3 linked regions of the Ovis aries genome follow. The main gene of each other region encodes a partner of the protein of the gene in region 2 in a complex. Links are inferred from orthologs where the notes say so. Each region holds a gene or a part of one and is shown on either strand. Other genes may lie near its edges.

Region 1 (5,508 bases), on a different chromosome or scaffold from region 2:
CGGCAGTTGGTAACTGTCCATGTGCCCATCAAGCAGCCTCAGGAAGCTCCGCTGATCATCTAAGTGACCGGCGTCTGCAGAGTGCGGAGCCTTCATGTTCCAGCCCCAAGCCCTGATGGAAAGGCACAGTCCACCCATGTGGGGTCACCTTGCATCTGGCGCTCCTTCTTTCGAGGTCATAATTCGAGCACTTCGTAGTTAAAAGGATTTCTTTCGTGCCTTCTAATTCTTCTGTCATAAGAGAGCCTGAGGATACCATAACCAATGAATTTTATGACACTACCAGAGACAGCAACCGTTTTCTTAGGTCAGGAACACGGATAGGATTAACCTGAGATGCTGCTTATACTATACGAAAAATCACCCTGACAGCGCAGCACACCTTGGGCAGATCGCTCCTGCCCTGTCCCGCCTCCTCGGAAAACTAAAGGCCGGAATAGCATGTGCACAGTTGAGGACATCAGCGAACTGATATCCTGAGGAACTTCTGGGATTTTTTTTTTTCTTCCCTCATATTAATAGCATTTTCACTGGGAAACACTGGGGTCATGACTGTTGTTTTCATAAACTTTAAATATCTGGCACATTAGGAATGCTTTGATACTTGAATACATAGGCATGAGTTTTCTAGTTTAAAAAATTGCTGAGATAATTAGCAAAGAGGTTTTTGCCCTGTGTTTTCCCTGCAAGCTTTAAGAGTTAACATTTATTTACACGAGTACTTCCTCTGCTCTGATCATTCTGGTCAATGGGAAAACATCGTCTGCTTTTCATGTCATAGGAGTCAGCTCATCCTATCTTAGAATGAGGAAATAATTAGCAAACAGTTATCATTCCTTTTCAATATTTGTGGCATCGTGTTCAGAGTTTTCCTCTACACACCAATGCACCGTAAACGTTGTCTGGCTGGAGGTCTTGAAATCTGTTTTGCTGTGCTGCAAACGTAGAGGTGTGTGTGTTTCACTAGAAGCCTGTAGCCAAGAGCCACATTCGCCGACTGGATGCTCTGACGGGGTGACAGGTTATGGAGCCCTGCAGTGATGTGTGGTGTACATCACAGACTGTGGGATAAACCTCTGTGCGTCCGTAGAGGTACAGGGCTGAACAGCCAAGCAGACTAGGGGCAGGGGTAGTGTTTGTGTGACCGGCTTCATCCCCTGTGTCAATAAGAGGAAGACTTCCGATACAGTGCGGACATCCACCATAACAAATGCTAGCGCCAGCTAAATTCAACTGTGTGTATAATGTCCTCTGAATTCCCAGCTGTCTCAAGAAGGACTAATGTGAAAGATGTTATATGCTCTTACATTTTATAGATCATGAACAGATGGGGGGAAAGTGTGCCAATTGGTAAAGAAATTCATATGCAGAATAACACACCTCAAAATGGTGTTTCGAAGGTTTTTCTTTTTTAAAATTATTAAATTTATCTTGGATAAAATTTAATTACTCCTTGGGGGTTTCCTGTAATATTATATGCGTAATTCATTTGAGTTTATGCCCTCTACAGATATGAATGTTTGGAAGTACAGGTAACCTTGTAATGAATAAAACTGATAAAAGGTTGTGTTCCAATAAAAGGGAAATTATGGAATGATTATTCACTTTGTGAAAGGCTCTGTCATAGGGCACACTTTCCTAAAGCATTTTAAATTGGATTACATTTAGGAAACATTCGTTTATACACAACATTTCAGGAACAAATGTAGTGAGGAAATGAGAGAACTACTCATAATAAGATAGAGATCCCTTCCGCTGCTGACGTTTGTGCTTCCTGTCTTCTCTGCCTCCCCTCGCAGCTCTGATAGCCATCGGGCGATACAGCATGACAATAGAGACTGTGGACGTCGGCTGGTGCAAAGAGATCACGGACCAAGGGGCCACCCTGATTGCACAGAGCAGCAAGTCTTTAAGATACTTGGGGCTGATGAGATGTGATAAAGTGAGTTGCCTGTCGACCTTCTTTCCTACGTATCCGTGTCGTTTACAGCTTGATATTAGATTTTTCTTCACTACCTGGGTATATATATGTACACATGCACGTACTTATGTTATTACAGGTATGCATGGGAAGCTGCCTGGTTTTCTAAACTAATCTGAGATGATTTTTGAATATCTCTGTTTAAAAATGAATGTTTGTGCTTATGCAGAAAGAAAACAGCAGTCACACACACACTTAACTTAGATTTTGGCTTCCTGTCCGCAAGTCCACGGACCACGATTAAGTGTGTTTGCGTGGCACACTGCAGTGCGTGTGGCTTAACAGTGAAATTCCACTCAGGTTCCAAGTTTCCTGCAGCAGTAAGTTGGAAGGCCCGCTGCCAGATGATGCTGCCGCAGTCTGAAGTGCTCACTGCTCAGCGTCTTTGTGTTCTGCCCCTCAGGGGGGCAAGAAAGGGCCAGTGAGGCAACATTAGTTGGGAATCCCCACACTGCAGATGCTGCTTTTCACACATGTCGAGAAGCGGTCCCAGAGGCCCCACCGATGGTCAGTGGAGCTGGCCAGAGGCATGAGCCTGAGTTTGAGAAGTCGGGCTGCGTTTAATAAAGATGATCAGAAGCTGCACTGATAACCAGGCATTGGAGACGCACTTTCCCCTTTGTCTCTTTTACGTTTTCCTGGTAACAAATCTAGGAGATGGTCTGTGCTGCGAAGGGGAGAAAACGGAGCTCAGAAGGACCAGACACTGGCCCCATGCCCCCCATCCAGGGTGGCACCCCAGATCTTCAAGCCTATGGCCAGTGCCCAGGGCCCACCGCAGGGACTGTCTCCAGAGAAGGGGGTGCTTCCTTGGAAAAGACCCACCTCAGCTACTCGCTCTGAAAATGTTGGCAGCTTGTAACAATTTATACACGTGTGCTGCTTTTTGTGATTGGTGATTAGGCACAATGTAGCAAAAGAGCCTGAAGCTAAATATATATGCCTCTCAAAGGACATGCAGTTTCTAAATGTAGCAAATTGGGGACAAATAAGAATGGCCCAAATTCTCTGTGCGCTTTGTCAGTTTTGTTAATTGACCTAGTTCTTTTTTCCAGATGTTTTACAATCCCAGCTTATACCAGACCTTTCCAGTTAGTCATGATTAGAGAGACTTTATATACTCAGCCCAGCCTAGAAAGCTGACTGAGTTTATTACTGAGCAACAGCGGAGAGCCCGGGGTGGCAAGTCTCTCTTAAATTTCACCACTAACTAACTTAACACTGCTACTAACCCTGTCACTTCGAAATGATTCCTTTTAAAACAAGTGAGAGTCCATAGCAGGCAGAGTGTTCTAGAAACCCCGAACAGTGACAGCAGAACTCTTCGGCTTCTGCCCGAAGGAATCGCTGCGCACAAACTGCCTGCGCAAGGGCAGGAAGAGGTGAGCATTCACAGCCGGGCCCCTGCGCCCACAGCCATTCACAGCCGGGTCCCTGCGCCCACAGACATTCCCAGCCGGGCCCCTGCACCCACAGACATTCCCAGCCGGGCCCCTGCGCCCACAGCCATTCACAGCCGGGTCCCTGCGCCCACAGCCATTCACAGCCGGGCCCCTGCGCCCACAGCCATTCCCAGCCGGGCCCCTGCGCCCACAGCCATTCACAGCCGGGCCCCTGCGCCCACAGCCATTCCCAGCCGGGCCCCTGCGCCCACAGCCATTCACAGCCGGGTCCCTGCGCCCACAGCCATTCACAGCCGGGTCCCTGCGCCCACAGCCATTCCCAGCCGGGCCCCTGCGCCCACAGCCATTCCCAGCCGGGCCCCTGCGCCCACAGCCATTCACAGCCGGGTCCCTGCGCCCACAGCCATTCACAGCCGGGTCCCTGCACCCACAGACATTCCCAGCCGGGCCCCTGCGCCCACAGCCATTCCCAGCCGGGCCCCTGCGCCCACAGCCATTCCCAGCCGGGCCCCTGCGCCCACAGCCATTCACAGCCGGGTCCCTGCGCCCACAGCCATTCACAGCCGGGTCCCTGCGCCCACAGCCATTCCCAGCCGGGCCCCTGCGCCCACAGCCATTCACAGCCGGGTCCCTGCGCCCACAGCCATTCCCAGCCGGGCCCCTGCGCCCACAGCCATTCCCAGCCGGGCCCCTGCGCCCACAGCCATTCACAGCCGGGCCCCTGCGCCCACAGCCATTCACAGCCGGGTCCCTGCGCCCACAGCCATTCCCAGCCGGGCCCCTGCGCCCACAGCCATTCACAGCCGGGCCCCTGCGCCCACAGCCATTCACAGCCGGGTCCCTGCGCCCACAGCCATTCACAGCTGGGTCCCTGCGCCCACAGCCTCTGGCGGAGGCCACCGTGTTTCTAGTCCAGACTCTAGACCTGTTGAGATCAGCACCCTCTTTGGAGCTGAATTTGGTACTCCAGTTAGTTAAGAAGATCCTTTCAGATGTATTTGCTGACTAGCATTTTGCCAATTTTCAGTAAGTGGAAGGATCCTTTTCTGCATAAATGCAAATTCGTCCAAAGTAGGGCTGTCACAATCCAGCCCACTGTCACCAGCCCAGCCCTGCCAGCCAGCGTCCTCAGGCTTAAGGCAGTTCAGGGCCAAACGCGGGAGGTTCTGTGCGGACGGAAGAAGTTTCCAAACCACACCCAAAGCACACATAGAACCTCGCGCTTAAAAGCCTGCTGGTTGACTAAGTCAGTAAGTGTTAGTCGCTCCGTCGTGCCCAGCTCTTTGCAGCCCCATGGACGGTAGCCCACCAGGCTCCTCTGTCCATGGGATTTCCCAGGTAAGGGTACTGGAGTGGGTTGTCATTTCCTTCTCCAAGGGATCTTCCCGACCCAGGGATCGAAGCCAGGTCTCCTGCACTGCAGGCAGACGCTTTATCGATGGAGCTGCGCCTGCTGGTGGGTTTAGCCGGATGGAAACCCAGCGTGAATGCTCTGTCTTCCGCATGTGTACTATACTGTCCATCTCCAGGTTCCATACTCCAAGGAGTATGTGAGTAGCCAAGAGCCGAAGGTAGCAGTTGAGGACGTGGACTCTGGAGCCAGAGATGAGGCGCAGATCTGGGCTCCGCACTTCGCTGTGCCAGCTCGGACAGGTTGACCTCTTGAGTGCTTCCGTCTCCTCATTCGTAAAACGAGGATAATAACTGTACCCGTCTTGTAGAAATGCTGTATTTACACAAGTGGACATATGTCAAGCCCTTAGAGTAATGCTTGTTATGTATAAAATGCTTAATGTTAATAATTACTCTTTTCATCAACAATATTATATTACCCTGGGTCTTGATTTTTCAGTTTGCAAATGAGAAAAAATTGCATTGTCTGCTATCCCATTTTTGAAAGGAAGTCTTTAGAAAGAGGAAAGACATGAACTGAAAGATGTTGCCATTTCACTTTTCCCTCACTTAAATTTAAGATTTTTATTTCTACATAAATAGATCAATAATTGCATATTAAACACACTCTACGAAGGGAAACTGATGCCTCTGAGGGATAGTGTATTTGGAATCAACTTACTGATCCAGGCATAAGGCTGAAGAAAGATTTGCAGTGGGGAACAAAGGTGA
Region 2 (5,508 bases):
CACACTCCTTTTCCACTCACCTCACACTCTTGTTCTCTGGCTGAACAGGGCTCACTGTCCCCTTCGGTATCTGTCTCCGAGTCATCTCCCAAGCTGATCACACAAGCGTAGGGACAAGGCTCCTGCTGGGGCTCTGAAACGTAGTCATCGGTTCCAATTTCCAGGCTGCTGGAACAGCCCTCAGGACTCAGAGTGCTTATAAAAGGGCAATTGACAGAACTCAAGGTCGTGAAAGTCCTCTGGCCCGGTTCCGGGCTCTCGCTGATCCTGATACCTAACCAGGGACACTCAGACCGCTTCTGGGGGTAGTTCTGCTCTGGGCCGTCTTTGGCCACGGCAGGTGACAACTGCATTTGGCAGGGAGAGTCCGCGCTGCAGATGTCACTCCAGAAGCCCTTCGCGAGGTGTTCCGCCACCTCTCGCTCCACGCTGCTCAGATCACTCGCGGCAAGGCCACTCTCCTTCCTGGGGCCGGAGTCTGATTTCACATCCGGACTCTCACTGAAAGCCTTCTCCTCTCGCACACTGGAACCCGATGAAGGCTTTTCTGTTAACACTGTCGTGTTTTGCATGCCAGCAAAATTCAAGTCACCATACTGGTCGTACGTGTGTAAGAGAGACAGAGAGTAGAGCCCGTGGGAGTCTGCAGAACTGGGGGGGCAGGGAGTCGTTTCTGTTTTTCCGGATGAGCCCTGGGAAGCGGGATCTTTCTTCTTGGCTTCTTCATGTTCCATCACTGACTTTCTTTCTTCACATTTTAAAATCACCTGCAAGTCTGCACAGTCCTGGATTCCTCCTAGACACTCACTTTCCGACGGCTCATGTGGCTGAACAGAAGCAGCCTGAATGTCTTTGACGCTGGACTCCACAGTTCGGACTCTGTCGGTTCCAAACGCTTTCTGGAATTTTCGGTATTTGGGGCATAAAGACGGCAGAGCCAGGGGAGCGTCCTTTTCTAAGCACATGGATTCACATGTTTGGCTGGCACTGTCCTGCAGAGGAGGAGTCACTTTTGCACTGCCTTGATACCTACGCAGTTTACAGTGAGGGGTTTGGACATTTTTGCTGTCCAGAAATTCCTCCACCTCATCAATTTCTAAATCCTTCTGGTCCAAAAGTGAAAACTTAAAATCTGGTTTCTGGCAAGGTGAGGAGAAGCATTTTTTTCTGGGGCATTCCTGCTGGTCTGCAGTGGAGTCCAGAAACTTGTATTTGAGAAACTGAAAGCAGGATTCCTCAATATCAGGTACGCCTAAAAATTCCACACACTTGTACACCTCATCCACATTGTCCTTACTGAGTATCAGTTTAGCAGTGTAGGCAAACTGAATTAAAGGTTCAAATCCTTTAACTGTCACCTGTTAATATACAAAACAAAAACAAACACATCATATGAAAACCTGTCTAGCAGATAAGGACGAGAGAAGCAGCAGGGTGGCAAGATGAAAACCTCTTTGTGATACTTATAAAACAGGGATTTTAATTTGGCGAGAAAAAAATCTTCTCAGAAATGTAAAGCTAAGGGAATCTAGAAAAGCTTGCTTCTCACATCCTGTTCACTGGGACCACACTCTCCACTTTATAGATATCCACTCATGGTGATCCATGGAGTATGATTTACTCATATGAGATAAAGATATAAACATTACCACAACTTTCCACATTAATGGAAAGAAGGCATCTATGGAATAAAGCAACACGGATAAACGTTCAACACACTGTTTCAAGTGCTGGGGTCTGTTGCCATCCTAGGTCCACGTGGTTACCATATTCCAAACAACTCCTCAGCCGTGATAAACTACTACCGTGGAATATTCAAGGCCGGAGAACAAAATAGCTAAAGCAATGAAAGTACTCCTAACCATGTGGACAGTCAATGGCTAACTATCAGTTATCTTCGAGTTTCTAATAAAATTTTTAAAGATTCAGATTTACAAAGTGATCTACGTGAAGACCTAAAACTTGTGCCTAGTACAGTCTCAGCAAAGATTCAAGGACCCTAGCTAATAAAACCTTTAAGCTCAAAATTGTACATTTACACTGAACCTGCCTCTGCAGAGAGAGGGGGAGATGACACCTACTGAGGGCATGGAAAGCTTCATTCTAGGCTCAAAATACAAAAATTAATTTTAGAACACTGAATTCCAATCAGAGTGATCAAGATATAATTTTTCTGTGATTCTCTTAAACATCTGCTAAACTGGGCATACTTAATTAGCTTTTAAATGGCTAAAAAAATAAAGTAAAATAAAAACAGCAATACCAAATACTGGTGAAGATGTGGAGAAACAGGAAAACTCACACACTGCTGGTAGGAACGTAAAATGGTGCAGCTGCTCTGCAAACCAGTTTGGCAGTTTCTTATAAACATGCAACCACCATATGTCCCAGCAACTGCACTCCTATTCTTTTATGCCAGAAAAATGAAAACTCATCTTGCACAAGCGCTCACTGCAGTGTTATCTGTAACAGCCCAAAATTGGAATCAGCCTGATTTCCTTCAATAGGTGTACAGCTAAATAAAAACCAGTATACCCACAGTAAGGAATGCTCAGCATTAGAAAAGAATACACTGCGGATGCCTAAGACTTGGATAAATCTCAGAGAAATTACAGTAAGAGGAAAAAGGCCAATCCCAAAAGGTCACCTACTGTATGACTCCATTTATGTGACATTTTTCAGATGACAAAACTTTAAGAAAGGAGGACAGATTAGTGGTTGCCAGGGATTAGGAATGGAGGGAGGGGGTGAGGGAGTATGGATGGAAACTAGAAAGGAAGTGAGTGGGATTATAAAAGGGCAACACAAGGGATTCTCGGGTAGGTGCTGAAACTGTTCAGTTTCCTTACTATGGCAGTGGACACATGGACCCACCCAGGAAACGAAACTGTATAGAATTTTACAGCATACGCAATTTAGTACAAGTAAAACCAGGAAAGCCTAAGATGGGTGAATTGTACTACTATCAAAATCCTGGTTGTGACATACAATTTTGCAAAACCACCACCATTGGAAGAAACTGAGCCGAGTGCAGCAAAGGGGCTCTCTGCCTTAACAGCTGCATGTGAATTTACAATGATCTCAATAAATGTTTTAATTGAGAATTTTTAAATAAAATAATCAAGAGGCTTTAAAGACAGCTCCACAATGATCTTTTCAATCTGTCATTATGATGAGACACTTCAAATATCTGAAAATTTGTATCTCATATTCAAATTAGAATGAATGAATGTATATATACACACGTGCATGCAGGTATCTTTCCTTCCATATACATGAATCAAATTATTTTCTGCTTGGAAAGTCTTTTCAAGTAATTTGAAACTACAGATCATAAAGAGGATATCTCCATTAGGACATGTGTTGCTACTTGTTAAAGAACAACGGGTGACCAATAGCCGGCCCTTCTTGCCACTGCCTTAGTATTATATTATTTGTTCCAACTTCTGCCACAGAACTGACCACCTGCAGCTACCATTTCATGGATGTATGTCTGCATGGCCAGCAATAAGCTAAACTGTAGACTCACTGTCATCACAGAACAGCCCACACAAACCTGTTGTACATAGACAGGTTCTATATACTTTGTCCAAATTCCTTTCAACAACTTCTAATGTGTGCTGGAGAAGACTCTTGAGAGTCCCCTGGACTGCAAGGAGATCAAACCAGTCAATCATAAAGGAAATCAGTCCTGAATATTCACTGGAAGGACTGAAGCTCCAATACTTTGGCCACCTGATGTGAAAAGCTGACTCAGTTGAAAAGACCCTGATGCTGGCAAAGATTGAGGGCAGGAGGAGAAGGGGATGACAGAGGATGAGATGGTTGGATGGCATCACCAACTCAATGGACATTTGAGTTTAAGCAAACTCTGGGAGACAGTGAAGGGCCTGGAAGCCTGGCCTGCTGCAGTCCCTGAGGTCACAAATTGTCAGATACAACTTAACGGTGAACAAAATGTGTCCCAATGCCACAAGGCTCAGCACTCTTCTAGCTGTCATCACTAATGAAACCAAACAGTTAAAACAGTCAGTGTACCCAGCACTCCCTCCCTAAGAGTCTTCTCTTAGTGGCAGGATGGTAACAAGAACCTAAGTGTCTAGGTGCACGAGCTCCACAATAGGCTTGGGGGGAAAGGTGTGTAAGTACAAGGCTCTATAAATATGACACAAAATCACCTTTCTTCTACCCACACATTGTCTCAATCTCAAGAAAGAAAAAAGGGAGAGAACCCTTCTGGAGTACCTAACAGCCACTTGTAGACAAAATGAGGAGGCTGGAATGCATAATCTTTTAGGTTTTCTCCAAATTCTAAAACATCTGGCTTTAAAAACGAAGAGATCTGGCAACTTGGACTCATAGTTAAAACAATAAAACTGAGCGGCATAGGAAGGCTGTCCCCAGTAACTCCCTTTCAGTCCTGTCCATGAAGGCAGGTCGGTCATAGTCAAATGCAGGCTTGGGAGGACCCTAATCCCTGTCCATCACAGGAAAAGGTCCAAAGGGGGAGTCCCGCCCAGGTGTGCGACCTCTCCGAATGCCCGTATCCACTGGTGAGGCATTTCATTAAAACATAACAGAGGGTCAAGTTATTCAACGGCCCAACATATATTAACTAACATCCAAAGTTATCAGAGACTTCTCTGGCAGTCCAGAGGTTAAGTAAGATTTCACACTTCCACTGCCAGACACAGGGGTTTGATCCCTGGTGGGGGAACTACGATTCCGCCTGCCTTGAGGTGCGGCCAAAATAATAAAGTGAACCAGTTGACACAAAAAATGCTGAAGCAAGTTAAATGTGAGGCTGCAGAAGCACGGGCAAGGATGACCGGCAAGGCGGGGTTTTGCCCTAACGGGATCAACCAGGGGAGACAGTTGGTTGCATGAACGCGGGGCGAGCTCTCCCACCTCTCCGGGCAGCGTGATGCGTGGCTCTGCGCCGGCCACGCCGGCGAGCCGGGCGTGGAAGTAGGCGCTGCAGGCGGCCAGCACGGCGCGGTGCGCGCGGAAGGGCCGGCCCTCCACCAGCACCGTCACGTCGCACAGCTCGTCCTTCCGCCGCTGCTCGTCCAGGCAGCGCAGCACGTGCGCGCCGTGCACCGACGACTCGTAGGCGAACACCGCGTTCTCACCCAGCCACATTCTGCGTCCGGGGCGGCGTCGGGAGGATCCGAGAGAGCATGCTTCTGACGGTTGTCAACCCTGCCGAGACACAGGCTGCGGTCACTCACGGAACGGCTAGGAAGGAAATCTGTCCCGACAGCCCCGGCAGGTACCCATCAACACGTGGCTGCTGTTTAGTCGCTCAGTCAGTCCGACTCTCTGCGACCTCATAGACTGGCCCTCCAGACTCCTCGGTCCATGCGGATTTTCCCGGCAAGAATATTGGAGTGGGTTGCCACTTCCTTCTCCGGGCGGATCTTCCCCACCCGGGGATCAAACCCACCTCTCTTACATTGGCGGGTGGGTTCTTTACCACTGAGCCACTTGGGAAGCCCCCCATCAGAT
Region 3 (6,199 bases), on a different chromosome or scaffold from region 2:
TTCTCACAAAGATGGGACACAGTAAAGGGTAGAAATGGTGTGGACCTAACAGAAGCAGAAGATATTAAGAAGAGGTGGCGAAACTACACAGCAGAACTGTACAAAAAGATCTTCACCACCCAGATAATTACAATGGTGTGATCACCAACCTAGAGCCAGACATTCTGGAATGTGAAGTCAAGTGGGCCTTAGGAAGCATCACTATGAACAAAGCTAGTGGAGGTGATGGAATTCCAGTTGAGCTATTTCAGATCCTGAAAGATGATGCTGTGAAAGTGCTACACTGAATATGCCAGCAAATTTGGAAAACTCAGCAGTGGCCACAGGACTGGAAAACGTCAGGCAATGCCAAAGAATGCTCAAACTAACGCACAATTGTACTCATCTCACACGGTAGCAAAGTAATGCTCAAAATTCTTCAAGCCAGGCTTCAACAGTATGTGAACCGTGAACTACCAAATGTTCAAGCTAGAAAAGGCAGAGGAACCAGAGATCAAACTGCCAACATCCACTGGATCATGGAAAAAGCAAGAGTGTTTCAGAAGAATATCTACTTCTGCTTTACTGACTATGCCAAAGCCTTTGACTGTGTGGACCACAACAAACTCTGGAAAATTCTAAGAGATGGGAATACCAGACCATCTGACCTGCCTCTTGAGAAATCTGTATGAAGATCAGGAAGCAACAGTTAGAACTGAACATCGAACAACAGACTGGTTCCAAATAGGGAAAGGACTACGTCAAGGCTGTATATTGTCTCCCTGCTTATTTAACTTCTATGCAGAGTACATTATGAGAAACACTGGGCTGGATGAAGCACAAGCTGAAATCAAGACTGCCGGGAGAAATATCAATAATCTCAGATATGCAGATGATACCACCCTTATGGCAGAAAGTAAAGAAATAAAGAGCCCCTTGATGAAAGTGAAAGAAGAGAGTGAAAAATTTGGCTTAAAGCTCAACAGTCAGAAAACTAAGATCATGGCATCTGGTCCCATCACTTCATGACAAATAGATGGGGAAAGAGTGGAAATTGTAATAGACTTTATTTTCCTGGGCTCCAAAATCACTGCAGATGGTGACTGCAGCCATGAAATTAAAAGACCTTTGCTCCTTGGAAGAAAAGTTATGACCCACCTAGACAGCATATGAAAAAAGAGACATTACTTTGCCAACAAAGGTCCATCTAGTCAAAGCTTTGGTTTTTCCCGTAGTCATGTATGGATGTGAGAATTGGACTATAAAGAAAGCTGAGTGTCGAAAAATTGATGCTTTTGAACTGTGGTGTTGGAGAAGACTCTTGAGAGTCCCTTGGACTTGGAGATCCAACCAGTCCATTCTAAAGGAGATCAGTCCTGAACATTCATTGGAAGGTCTGATGCTGATGCTAAAACTCTTAATACTTTGGCCACCTGATGCAAAGAACTGACTCATTAGAAAAGACCCTGATGCTGGGAAAGACTGAAGGTGGGAGAAGGGGACTACAGAGGATGAGACGTTTGGATGGCATCACCAACTGAATGGGCATGAGTTTGAGTAAACTCCAGAAGTTAGCGATGGACAGGGAGGCCTGGCATGCTGCAGTCCATGAGGTCGCAAAGAATGGGATAGGACTGAGTGACTGACTGAACTGAACTGATGCACTGCAGCATTATTTACAATAGCCAAGAGATGGAAACAACCTAGGTGCTCACCAAGAGATGAAATGGATATAAATGTGGTACACTTATACCTAGACAGCGTATTAGAAAGTAGAGACATCACTTTGCCCACAAAGATCTGTATCGTCAAAGCTATGGTTTTTCAGGTAGTCATGTACCGATGTGAGGACTGGACCATAAAGAAAGCTGAGTGCAGAAAAACTGATGCTTTCGAATTGTGGTGCTGGAGAAGTCCAAATTCCTTGCACTGCAGAGATCAAACCAATCGATCCTAAAGGAAATTAACCCTGAAGATTCATTGGAAGGCCTGATGCTGAAGCTGAATATCCACCTCTTTGGCCACCTGATGTGCAGAGCCTATTAACTGGAAAAGATCCTGATGCTGGGAAAGACTGAAGGCAAAAGAAGGGAGCAGCAGAGGATGAGTTGGTTAGATACCATCACTGACTCAATGGCACTTTGAATAAACTCTGGGAGTTGGTGATGGACAGGGAGGCCTGGCATGCTGCAGTCCATGGGGTTGCAGAGTCAGACAGGACTGAGCAACTGAACTGAATTGAAAATGCCCAGTATGTGGAGAATGGTCAAAGAAACCATGGCACATCCTTACAATATGCAGTCATTAAAATTGGTGTTTATAAAGTCTTCATGCCCCGAGCAAATTTTCCCTAAATTACAGAATAGCATCACCAACTCAATGGACATGAGTTTGAATAAACTCCGGGAGTTCGTGATGGACACGAAGGCCTGGCGTGCCTGAACTGGAAGCTGTGCTTAACTCTGCGACCCCATGGACTGTGGCCCGCCAGTCTATCCATGGGATTCTCGAGGCAAGAACTGGAGTGGGCAGTTGCCATTTCCTTCTCCAAGGGATCTTCCCAACCCAGGGATCAAACTCAGGTCTCCCGCATTGCAGGTGGTCAACTTCCCGTCTTGAGCCACCAGGGAAGTCAGACCATATACGAATTGTTTTATAGTATTTAATCTCAACGACTGACCCACCAAACTTGCAAAGGACTGTACGCGACACCCCTTACTTGCCTCAAGCTCTTCGGCTACCACGCGGACCAGGCAATGCTGCGCCAGATGGCAGGGATCCGCCGAGAGCGCGGAGATCCAGGTCACATTCCGATGAGTCCGCAACACTCTGCGCACACACTCCCTCCATAAGCGACACACGCTGGGGACGCACACGCACAAAGGACTGTGAACGGACGTTCACTTCCCTTTCTCCCGCAGCTCTCTCTGTACAGACCTCCCTCCGCTCGCCACCACCCATAACCTCAACAGCAGGAGATCGCTACGGGATCCCGAGTCCCCGGGACGGCGAGGCGTGTAGCAGCGGTTCGGAGGCAGAACTGGGGGCGGAGAGAACCGTAGGGGGAAACTGGCTCCTCTGGGAAGGGTCCCCGGGAGCACTACGGCAGGTAGCGCTGGGGTATGGGAGCGCCACCTGGGACACGGGGTCCGGAGCCGGGGTCAGCCCTGGGTCCCGACGGTATCCGCCCACCCGCCAGCCCAGGCAAGCCCGAGGCAAGTCCCGAGGTCAGCTTCCCGCCGCCCCTGCCCTCACCCGGCCACCCGCAGCAACGCCTTAGCAGGCAGGAAGGTGAAGACACGCTCCACCACCTCCGCTAGGTTACTCAGCACGAAGGTACTTCGCGGGTCTGCGGAGGAGGAGCCGCAGCAATCGCCGCCGCCGCCGCCCACCCGCTCCATGCCTCACCAACCCCACCAACCCCACCAACCCCACCAACCCCACCGGGAAACAGTACGGCGGCTCAGAGGGAGCGGCTTAGACAGGGCCCCCGGCGCACTGAGCAGGCGCGCGCGCCACTTCCGGCCGATCCGGGGAGGCGGAACTGCTGCGGGGAAGCCCACGTGACTCCAGGCTAATATGTTTCCGGCGCTGGCCTTGGATGGCAGGCAGGTGTTTGGAAGGGGAGATTGGCGGATTTAGCAGTCCCTCGGGGTAGCAAAGTCGGACAGGACTGAGCGACTAAGCACAGAACACACAGAGTCACGCGTCCTGTAATTCTTCTGGGACTTTCCCGGAAGCTTCACGCAGTCAAACTAGATCCACCTCATTCTGTGCCGCTCACTGCTCTTGTAGCCTCATTTCCAAGTCTTTCATGAATTCTTGGGAGTCAGACTAGAGAGTGTTGTATCAGTCCTTACAGTCCCAATGTCAGTTAACAACAGCATGAGTCTGATTTTTGAACAGATAGCATATCCTTTTAAAAGTATGAAAATTCCTTTATTCAACACCGTGTAACCTCAAGTTCTGAACCTGTAAATCAGCTTAGAGTACCTACCATTGCTGTGAAACCACGCCCCAAACAGCATTAGTTCCCTGCCTATAGCATGAGATTCACCTGGGAAATACCTTGGCGCGTTCTTGATCCCCATCGCAGGCTTACTATGCGGGCTGGGGCCAGCAGTTGGAGTTTCAGCTTTACTGTGATTTAAATTTACCCCTGATGCAAGTTCAAGTTGAGAACCACAGACAGAAAAATCTAAGCACAACAGATACTGCTGTCTCCCCAGGGAACACCCACTCCTCCTGTAGCTTCCTTGCTAACAAGGCCCTGATCTGGTGCCCAGCTCTTGGCTGGTAAATGTGGTAAGTCTAAAAAAAGCAGGTCTCAAACATTTTGACTTCAGGACTGCTTCACATTCTTAAATACTGATAACGCCAAAGAACTTCTTTATGTGGGTTGTAACTATATTTATCATACTAATTCACTTAAAATAGTTCATACACAGAGTAACATGAAAAAATAACCTTACCAGATCTCCACCCCACTCCCCACTATTGCATAGAGTAGCATCTTTACATCTTATAAACCTGTAACTACTGACATTAGTTAGTATTAGACAGCTGGATCTGCTTCTGAATTCAGTCTGTTCAATATCCCATCTGTCACATCATGTAGCCTCTGGAAAACTCCACTGTACACTTGTGAGAGAATGAGAGTGAAAATATCAAATAATGGTTTAGTGTTGTTTTGACCTTAAAAACCTCCTAAAAGGGTCTCAGGAGTCTCCAGAGTTCTCCAACAAATTATACCTTGAAAACCACTGATCCAAACTAATTATGATAGTTTCATTCTTTTGACCAGCCATTAATTTAGGGGTAGACAAATGCTCTAGTTCTAGGCCAAGAAAAAGTTGTGTTTTTTGGGGGGTGGGAGGGTGGGTAGGGGGACCTCTAAAGACTTTCTCACTTCCTAAGGAGACACTGGACCACAGGGCCATTATCTACCTCTGGATGGATTAAGGTGGCTGCACATTCAAGTCTATCCAAAGATGAAACCAACACAGAAAGGTCTCAAAGCAGCAGAGGTACTACGCCTGGAGTTTTCCTACTTCTGTACTTCTTGTATGTGAGAAATTGACAATTGTGTCAAGAGGCTATGGGTACACTGAACAGGGAACAGATACTGTACCTTGGGGAATTAGGAAAGCGATGAAGAAAGTAGCATTTGAATTTATATTAAAGAATCAGTGTGCACAAGGGAAGAGGTTGAGGAAACCCTGAGTATGCCAAGTCTATACACAACAATTCTGGGTTCTCCAGCTTTCTCTTGTGAAATCAATCTACCTTAAGCCTCTCCTCACCCCATCCCACCATATATGATCCTATTCCAGAAACCCAACAGAGCCTATAGAAACTCAAAGAGTATCTGTTACAAAAGGAAAGTGAAAGAGTTATTTTTTAAATGGTTCTTTATTCATAAACTTGATGCAAGTTTACAAAATTTACTGTACATTGCCAAATAAATCTGCAATGAAAAATAAAGTCCAAAAAACCCCCCAAAACCAAAAACCAAAGCATGCCAAATGTGCAGCTGTCAATCTGCTAGCCATCAGGATATTAAAGAATTCAATAATGTATTCAAGATTTAGCCTTAGGTTTAAGGAACTTTAATGCTTTAAAGAATTCTGCCTTGTCACTTGTTATCTGAGCAACTGGCAATTGGAACTGTATACAAATTAACCGAATGAACAAGAATGCCAGAAAATCTTTTTCTACTATCCTCTTAACCAAAATAGGAAAGAAGAAAAAAAAGGAAAAGAAATTAAACACAATAATGCAGAAGTGCCAAGTTTTTCAGATGTGGTTTACAAAGTTAAAAACTGAGTCTTAAAGCATAAGACACACTTTTGAACTTTGTAACTGGTTTGTGCAGAAAAAAATGTGCTTCTGGGTTTCTTTTTAAAAGTGCTTAATAACTAGAGTTTACTTTTAAATCAAATTTGGGTATATTAAAAAAAAAAAATCTATTACCAACCCAACAGGACTAATTCAGGTAAGGCAATGAAATGGAGAGTACACTGATTTGAATCTAGATTTTATAAAAGAATTAATATATGTAGAATTCCTATTAGTCTTTCAATGTAAAAGCCATTATTATGACTATAGGAAAAATTTAAGTCTCCAAATTAGATACTTTTTGTACTTAACTGAAGTTTTGTTCAAGAAGTCTTTGTGCCAATCACTTTATAAGATTATTAGTTTACAACTGATTGCAACA

The links.
Region 1: the proteins of BACH1 (region 2) and FBXL17 are in contact, whole or in part, in a cryo-EM structure (PDB 8UAH), measured with the Homo sapiens proteins. The link is inferred for Ovis aries from reciprocal best matches to the Homo sapiens genes BACH1 and FBXL17. Residues at the interface, in NP_001177.1 of Homo sapiens: Val20, Leu21, Ser23, Leu24, Gln27, Val32, Leu33, Asp35, Phe39, His48, Arg49, Ser50, Val51, Ala53, Ala54, Cys55, Ser56, Ser57, His60, Ser61, Arg62, Val64, Asn72, Thr74, Pro76, His116, Asn117; in NP_001156787.2 of Homo sapiens: Asp395, Arg421, Asn447, Gln473, Gln498, Glu499, Met524, Arg548, Cys574, Leu575, Tyr598, Val600, Ser601, Asp623, Trp626, Met651, Arg652, Val676, Gln678, Asp679, Cys680, Arg682, Thr683, Glu685, Gln689, Trp692.
Region 3: the proteins of BACH1 (region 2) and FBXO22 are in contact, whole or in part, in a cryo-EM structure (PDB 8S7D), measured with the Homo sapiens proteins. The link is inferred for Ovis aries from reciprocal best matches to the Homo sapiens genes BACH1 and FBXO22. Residues at the interface, in NP_001177.1 of Homo sapiens: Ser7, Val8, Phe9, Ala10, Tyr11, Glu12, Ser13, Ser14, Val15; in NP_671717.1 of Homo sapiens: Asp366, Gly371, Asn372, Phe373, Ile374, Leu375, Arg376, Lys377, Cys378.

What each region holds. Positions count from the first base shown.
Region 1 is NC_056058.1:104,497,057-104,502,564, reverse strand, and holds part of FBXL17 (F-box/LRR-repeat protein 17), read left to right. Parts: intron 1-1,799; coding exon 1,800-1,942; intron 1,943-5,508. UniProt on the Homo sapiens protein: Substrate-recognition component of the SCF(FBXL17) E3 ubiquitin ligase complex, a key component of a quality control pathway required to ensure functional dimerization of BTB domain-containing proteins (dimerization quality control, DQC).
Region 2 is NC_056054.1:127,400,539-127,406,046, forward strand, and holds part of BACH1 (transcription regulator protein BACH1), read right to left. Parts: intron 5,203-5,508; 5' UTR 5,143-5,202; coding exon 4,909-5,142; intron 1,359-4,908; coding exon 21-1,358; intron 1-20. UniProt on the Homo sapiens protein: Transcriptional regulator that acts as a repressor or activator, depending on the context. Binds to NF-E2 DNA binding sites. Plays important roles in coordinating transcription activation and repression by MAFK.
Region 3 is NC_056071.1:28,992,989-28,999,187, reverse strand, and holds the start of FBXO22 (F-box only protein 22), read right to left. Parts: upstream 3,480-6,199; 5' UTR 3,381-3,479; coding exon 3,235-3,380; intron 2,842-3,234; coding exon 2,703-2,841; intron 1-2,702. UniProt on the Homo sapiens protein: Substrate-recognition component of the SCF (SKP1-CUL1-F-box protein)-type E3 ubiquitin ligase complex that is implicated in the control of various cellular processes such as cell cycle control, transcriptional regulation, DNA damage repair, and apoptosis.